2 linked regions of the Xenopus tropicalis genome follow. The protein of the gene in region 1 interacts with the protein of each later gene in a biochemical or structural test. Links are inferred from orthologs where the notes say so. Each region holds a gene or a part of one and is shown on either strand. Other genes may lie near its edges.

Evidence for each region.
Region 2: the proteins of tnni1 (region 1) and tnnc1 are reported together in a solved structure, tested with the Homo sapiens proteins (2 studies listed by BioGRID, with this or other methods). The link is inferred for Xenopus tropicalis from reciprocal best matches to the Homo sapiens genes TNNI1 and TNNC1.

Annotation. Positions count from the first base shown.
Region 1 is NC_030678.2:63,724,777-63,728,988, reverse strand, and holds the start of tnni1 (troponin I, slow skeletal muscle), read left to right. Parts: upstream 1-1,412; 5' UTR 1,413-1,427; intron 1,428-4,212. UniProt on the Homo sapiens protein: Troponin I is the inhibitory subunit of troponin, the thin filament regulatory complex which confers calcium-sensitivity to striated muscle actomyosin ATPase activity.
Region 2 is NC_030680.2:128,884,748-128,889,014, forward strand, and holds the start of tnnc1 (troponin C, slow skeletal and cardiac muscles), read left to right. Parts: upstream 1-1,467; 5' UTR 1,468-1,488; coding exon 1,489-1,512; intron 1,513-4,267. UniProt on the Homo sapiens protein: Troponin is the central regulatory protein of striated muscle contraction. Tn consists of three components: Tn-I which is the inhibitor of actomyosin ATPase, Tn-T which contains the binding site for tropomyosin and Tn-C.

The DNA.
Region 1 (4,212 bases):
TGGTACTCCATGATTTATAACATAGATATAAAGCTGTGTAATGAACTATGGCATTTGTGTGAGGTGTAAACTTGTGGAGTAAACAGAGGTTCTACCTCTAACTAAGGTAAATTGCATTAAATGGAACTGGGTGCTGTTGGTTTTTACAGGGCTGCGTACACTACTTTGTACACAAGAAATTCTAATCTATTTGAACTTGTTTCATTGGAGACAATGGCTGATGTCAGGTCTGAAGTGGTAACAGATTGGTGTCATTTTCATTCAGCATTAGAGTGTTGTTTAAAGGAGCAGTAATGTCAAAAAATTAAACATGCAGCTTCATTAAGTGTGTTCTTAAACAACATGAAATGAAAAATGAAACATGCAGCTTCATATAGTTATATAGTAGAGAATGTTGAAAAAATACACATACCCATTCAGTTCAAACTGCCTGGAAAATCTTTTTTTCCCGCTTTATTATGGCACTGCACTCTTTCCTACAAGCATAGCTTTCCTACCCTATAATCCTCTGCAACAAAGCATCACAATTTTTTCCTTAAAAACCTGCAATGAACGAGAATGGCTTCTCTCCTTACACCCCTCTAATGCTACAGCAGTGTAATGGAAAAAAACTTTTTCTCCTCCCATGCCTTGTAATGGAACAGCTCTTCTTCCAACTTTTTGTAATAGGATAGTTTTTCTTCACAACCATGTTACACAATAGCACCGTTTATTATAATTTGCATCTTTCCCTCTGATCCCCTTGCTCCCCAGTAATGCACAATATAGCACTCCAATACCCTACATGGCTGAAGAACAATTTAACAATTTTAAAATTAGAAATTCATCCGTGAGAATGATTCACATGTGGAACTCTCCTTGCCAGCAGTTTTATTATATCTGCCCTGTAGTTTGTGTTTTAGCATGTTTTGCTGTTTCTTTGGAAAAGGAGTCTAAACCTTTAAAGATAATTTAACTATAACCATGTTAAAGATTCATGCTCCCAGTAAGATTTGAAACATTTTCTTAACTAAGCTTGGGGTGTGTATGATTAAGAAGTGTAAATCACAGATACAGATTTCTATATACAGGCACCCCCTTATAACTATGAGGTGTATGTAATATGATTTCTGCTCTTGTCTGTACAAGGGATTAGAGTCATTCTGCATTCCTATCCCATAATAGAACTCAGGATTAAAATTATCAGCATTCTCATATCAGTATTATCATTAGACAAGAACTAGCCCAAAAGACAGGTGCAGTTTAGGCCTCCCCCACTCTCTAATATCAGAACAAAGAGTTTTTCCTCTTTGCCAGACCATCTGGTATTAAAAGTGTTGGTGGGCGTGGTGCTCTATTGTGTTCAAAATCCTGGGTTAAAAATCCTTACACAGTGAAGGCAGTACAGAATTTGTGCACTCTTCATTCAGTGAAGGCTCTGTAGATAGGTAAGTGTCCAGAAGTATTATTATAGTTTTTTTTCTTATACATTGTTACTTACTCATGTCTTGTTACATTGTATACAACTTGGTATTCTCTTTTAAAGAGAGAAAGATTGAAAATATTGTGCAAGGTTAAGCTAAAATCACATATATCACAACAGCCTCTCTATTTATGCTGGCATTTTTGGAATGTTGCCATTTTTATTATTGATAGATATATAATTAAAATTGTTTCATCCATTTAATCATCACCAACATAATGAAAATGATATTTAATTATGGTTAAAATAAGATTTTACAAACATACTCAATGCTTAGTATAGTCAGATTTATACAATGTCTATGCCTCTATGCACCCAGGCCATTTGTTTCTGGGGAGAAACTTTCTCCCCAGTGTATAAACTTGAGTCCTAAATGCAGTCTCTGATTTTTTGCATAATCACAACTTTGCATCCCTCTTTCAACGGAATACATCAGCTTCTGTATCTCTCTCCCTACCAATACACCAGACATGTTATTTCTTTCCACCAGTATATCAGCTTCTACATCTCTTTCATAACATGCATTACTCTGCAACATAGGGGCACATTTACTTATCCACGAACGCTCCCAGCGTTCGTTCGTTCGTTCGTTCATTCGATCGGTCGGTCCAATCGTATTTTCTGCAACTTTTTCGTACCTTGCGCGACTTTTCCTTTTTTTTAGTGCAAAAAAATCGGCTCGGCTTTGCCGCTGTTTACAATCTTTATGTACGAAAATTTCGTGACTTTCAGATCACCAATACAATATTATCATGACTAATACGATTTTTTCGTGATATTTGTAATCTTTTTCCCATTCGGGATTTGAACTCGTGTTTTGATAAATCTGCCCCTAAGTCTTATCAAATGCTTAGCTCCATTTTTCCCACTCAGAATCTCTCTCTTTCATCTTTCTCCCTATGAATGCATCAGCCTCTCCATCTTCCTCTTAATCATGTAAATAAGTCTCTGTAATGACCATAATTTGCCATAGCTTCTGCACTGATTAAACTAGGTTTGTTAGTCTCTAGTGCTTTATTCTTATACAACACAATTTCCCTTATTCTACACTTTTTCCTCTCTCCATATATAAATTTCTGCATACCCCTGTCTAGGGGTATTTTTTTATTTGTTTTTTTTTTTTTGTTTTTTTAAATGAGAGTACCTTTTACTACACTTATTACTGCAAAGATATTTGAAATTAAATAAAATGTCACTAATTAGTCATGGCAATCATAGAGATAATCTACATGGGAGACTTTGTAGGATGGTGTTGGATTGACGCAATGCATTTTACAAGCTGGATGTAGTTGCGTTGGTTAAAATGTTATGTGACTAATAGAAAAATCTGATGTGTAAAGTATTTGGAACATTTGAGATCTGACAAGACACATCCATTGGAAGGGAAGGCTGCACAGTGCATCTGCATCCACCAAGATTGTCAGATGTAGATGCAGGAACAAAAGACAACATCCAACAGATAAAATCTGATCAAAAGGCTTTAAAGGAACAGTAACACCAAAAAATGTATATATTTTAAAGAAATTAAACTATAATGTACTGCTGCCCTGCACTGGTAAAAGTTGTGTGTTTGCTTCAGAAACATTACTAGAGTTTATATAAAATCTGGTGTGTAGCCATGGGGGCATCCATTCAAAAGAAGAAAAGGCACAGGTTTTATAGCAGCTAACAGATAAACCCTGTAGAATACAATGGTGTCTTATCTGTTATCTGCTATGTAACCTGTGCCTTTTCTCCTTTTTTCCACCTTGAATGGCTTCCCCCATGGCTACACAGCAGCTTATTTATTAACTATAGTAGTGTTCCTGAAGCAAACACCTCAGTTTTACCATTGCAGGGCAACAGTACCTTATATTTCAGTTACTTTAAAACACTTTCATTTTTTGGTGTTACTGTTCCTTTAAAGCAATTTGTGAGTGCTGTTGTTACTCCATTTTGTATTGGTATGCCTTACAAGATTTGCTAATTAGTGTCGCAGGTGAGGATTATATACATTTTAAGGGAAACTACTTTTTGGGCATTACAGCAGTGAATGCTTTATTATTATTTTTCAGAAACATCAGTTTCAGCATTTTTTCTTATAGTTTCTGAAATATAAATGTTTATTAGCATGCTTAATAATCCAATTTTTCCCACTGTAAATGAGATCATTCTGTTTTTGAGTATTAGATTGCAAATTGTTGCAGTCATGCTGGATTCAGCCAGCTGCTCTGTCAGTGACTGACTGTATGAATGTGTTGGTTGTGATATTTCTTACTATTTTTAGAATTAAAAAACAAGTTACATGGTTAATACTCCAGCTGATAAAATTAAGGGTTCTGGCAGTTAGCAGAGATGCTTATTTAAAGTTATTGGTTGATGGTGAGACCTTTGTCCTGGTTGGTGTGGTGAGCCCTTAACCAAAGTCCAACACAGGCTGGAGTCAATCTTGTTTTGAATCCCACTACTATTAATTTTGCTTTTGTAAAACATAGCTATATACTGCTCCTTTAAACAGAACCTAAATCATTGGGGATGCCAAATTGTTAGGCATCCCACAGTAACTAAAATTGCAAACCTCCTCAATGAACAGGCCTGTGTACTCCTACCTGGTATTCCTTGTGTGCCCTAACAAATTGGCAACTAGCAATGATTCTAGTTTCTAAAGTTGGTTTTGCTCAGTAAACCCCCGTATGTAATAAAAAGCACTATGTTTGCCCAGCAGTATTAACCTATAGCAATCAATAAAATGCTTGCCTTTAAAAATGAAG
Region 2 (4,267 bases), on another chromosome or scaffold:
GTGGGATAGCAGGTATAGTAGGGAGAGATGGTGCCTATAGTAGCAGTGGGGGGATAATAGCCTCTGGGAAGGGACTGTGGCTGTGGGATAGCAGGTATAGTAGGGAGAGATGGTGCCTATAGTAGCAGTGGGATAATAGCCTCTGGGAAGGGAATGTGGCTGTGGGATAACAGGTATAGTAGGGAGAGATGGTGCCTATAGTAGCAGTGGGATAATAGCCTCTGGGAAGGGACTGTGGCTGTGGGATAGCAGGTATAGTAGGGAGAGATGGTGCCTATAGTAGCAGTGGGGGATAATAGCCTCTGGGAAGGGACTGTGGCTGTGGGATAGCAGGTATAGTAGGAAGAGATGGTGCCTATAGCAGCAGTGGGGATAATAGCCTCTGGGAAGGGACTGGGGCTGTGGGATAGCAGGTATAGTAGGAAGAGATGGTGCCTATAGCAGCAGTGGGGATAATAGCCTCTGGGAAGGGACTGGGGCTGTGGGATAGCAGGTATAGTAGGGAGAGATGGTGCCTATAGTAGCAGTGGGGATAATAGTCTCTGGGAAGGGACTGGGGCTGTGGGATAGCAGGTATAGTAGGGAGAGGTGGTGCCTATAGTATTATCCTATAGTTTTCACACAATTTAATATATTCATTTTACTTTAGTTTTTGTTTTTCTTCCCTAGAACTTTAAGCCTATAGTATAGGACAGTGTCAGTCACAACACACAAAATCTTGTCACTGCTCCCTTTAGCAAGCTATGGGAAACATGCTGGCGGTGACCAGTAGCCTCGGCTCAGAGACACTTGCTTTAGCACCTGTCAGTAGTAGCAGTGTTTCTGTAGGCGAAAACATATGGCATTCCCTCTAAACTCTGAGAATGAATTCCAGCATTTTGTTTGTTTTGACACATTTAGAACTCTTTAAAGAACTCTTTTCAGTCGTGCAGTGAATTTATCTTTTAGCCAAGACGGGGGGTGAGGATGCAGCACAGACAGCTGGTACCAGGAACAGCATGAAATGTTATATATATGAAATAAAGGAAAAATATCCTATAGAAAAGGGTTTTTGCTCTCTGTTTTGTGAAAAGCAGCAGGGAGGGTGCAGGTCGGACAGCTCCTATGTATCTGACAGTTATTTCAGAATATAGAAATAAATGGACAGCATACAGTACAAAAGAATAAAATGGTTTTGAAGTGATGATATTTCCCTTATTGAATATGTTAGTACCAACCTGTGGCCTCCATCTCTGAAAAAGGAAATCTTTGGCCACACAGCTCCTGCTGGGTATATAAATAAATGCACTTGAAACCATGAGGTGGGCTCTTTTGTCTTCCCAAGGGGATGTCCTGGAAAGTGTCCATTGATAGGGGAAGGCTGACGTGTGGCTCAGGAGGAGCAAACAGTGCCGGGGGGGGGGGGGGGGGGGGGTATATAAACTGAGCCATCAGCTGTCACCAGTGTTGCACAATTGGCTCCTGGGCTCCTGACCAGCATCACTCACAATGGATGATATTTACAAAGCAGCGGTATGTGCTCAACTTTCTGCATTCTCTTTAACCTACTCCTTACAGCTGAAAGCTCGCTCATCAGCCCGTCTCCTGGGGCTCCTTCTGGGTTGGTGCTGATGCAGGGGTTGCAATATAGATCGGCATTTGTATACAACTTGTTCAGTTCCCTTGGTTTTAGGAAGGGTGAGATTCCTGTAAATATTAATATACTAAGTACACTGTGCACTGACCATATTGTTACAGGAATTACCTTTAACAATGAATTATGACTGCTCATATGGTCAAAGCACAATAACTTTAAAGGATTCTATCACCTTGTTATTATACTTTGTAGAGCTCCTTCAGCTGCATTACTGGGGATGTTCATTTACAAATGGGATTCAGATCCCAAATCAGATTCTGCTGCTGTTTGACTGCTGTCTATGGGAAATATTGTCAGTTGCTGCATATATTCATGTAAAATGGAAATGTACAGTATAACTATGAACATTTAAAATGTATTCTCTTAAACAGTGCTTAATGATGATACTTGTGTCACATGACTGGCTGAAACATGTATGTTATAATAATGTCCCCCAGAACTTCATGACCTGTATAATCTGTATGGTCATGGATCTCCTAGGTGTCTTTTAATATCCTGATAGTTTACAATTAGGGGTAAATCATTTTCTGTATAAACTTACACATTATCTGCAGTAACACAGGGAAGACATCTCTGAAATAGAAACTGTAAATGCCTTATTTTAATCAGATGAATAGAGATTTATGACAGGTTTAATTGTGTGCTAGATAATGAATAATATAGCATATGTAACATAGCATCATCTAGGGATTTGTGCAGGTCTGTAGGGCTCAGTAAGGACCTATACAACATCCCGCAGGGTACTGGTACTGGCCTAAACGCACAGGGGGCCAATGAAACTGTAGCAGCATCATTTTCCCATATAGCTGCATTCTGCATATTAATGGTCGGAGGATATTGAAATACCAAATGTCATTAATAGGGATGCACTGAATCTACTATTTTGGGACTTGGCTAAACCCTGAATCCTTCATGAAATTTTCAGCCGAATCCCGAACCAAATCCTAATTTCCATAGTCAAATGAGGCTAGGGATGGGACAAAGAGAACCGTGCTCACAGAGTGTGCCTAAAAACTTCATCTTTATGTGATGAAAAGTCACATGATATTAAGGATTTGAATTTGGCAAATGGATTTGGCCAAATCTGAATTGTGCTGAAAAACTCCAAATTTTGGTGGAATCCCGGACCGAATCCTCGATTCAGTGCATCCCTAGAGCTCATTACCAGGGGCAGGCTCAGACTGGCAATCTGTAGATTCTGGGAAATGCCAGAGGGGCTGCTGTAAGGTGCCATAGACAGTCACTATTTATTGGGCTGGTGGGGGCTGTTTGGGCTTCTGTGTACTTGAAATGCCAGTGCCTATTTTGTATCCCATTCCAGACCTGAACAGGAGTGTGAAAAATCATAGCCAGGCATAGTCTACAATGGGCCAGTATGAAATAATATACAGCATGTTTCATCATGTATAGAACCCTCTTGCAGAGTTGGTACCATGTAATGCCCCTAATGCAATGTTGAGTTTGAAGGGGAGTGTACAGTGTCCTACTATTGGAGATATCAGGAGATTTAGATGGAAGTACAGGTACTTTGCAGTAATTATATTACAGAGAATGAGCCACATTGCACTCACACTCACTGTCCTTCACTTCTCCTTGTCCTGCATATACCAGCTGCATGCACAGCACTCCAACGCCCCCCTGACCCACACATACACACTGACTTTATGGTGGGGCTATACAAACTCTACAGGGATAATGGGCATTTTGCCTGTCTATCTGTATATTCATTTGTTTGTTTAAATACTGCCCCTCCATCTACCAGAGCATCCATATATCTCTGTCTTTCTGTCCGTCTTTTCAAGGGTAAGATTTATTGAAAATATCTATTTGGGCTTAAGCTGACTGTACACTTATTAACGTACTTTCTGGCATGGTCACCAAATGAGCATATCTGTCTGTCTGATTTGGTCACTTACATGCCAGGCCAAATTGGGCTGATCTGATTGGCTGCACCAATGCACTAATTTGCCCTAAATTGCCTTGAATTTTCTAACCTGCCCACTATATATATGATCTTGGGGCTGCTGCCAGCTGAGGCCAATGCCGCCCCTCTCTCTCATTCCATGCTTACAATTCTAGCAGCAGAGTGGGTCTAGTGGGGCTGCATTGGTATGCAGTGCTATTACACTCTCTGCACTGGCAGAGCTGAATTTTCATTTTAAAACATGAAAATTCTGTTTTTAAAGTTACCAGAGGTGGCTTTTTGCCACCACTAGTAACTGGCTGCTTCCTGCCACCTAAGGCAAGGTTCTGACCCAGACCAATGAGCTGGTATCCTAGATGCCAGTCAGAGTAAGGTTTGGGGTGTCTTACTAACTATAACAAATACAAAAATGCTTTCATGTGTCAGCAAATTGTTATAGGCTAAAGAGAGTCGTTACCAAATGTTGGATATCAAAGTGGGGGCTTGAACTCCCCCCAAAGATCAAAAAGCCAGTGGCTTAACAGATAACCATAGTCTGAAATAGCCTATGGTTGCCGCCTGGCTAGTGTTTACCTGATTAGCTAGCAAATATCAGGCTTAAATGATAAAGAAAGGTTAATATATTGGGCTGTACCAATATGTTAGGTACCATCTAGTGTGTTAAAGGAACAGTAACACCAAAAAATGAAAGTGTATAAAAGTAACTA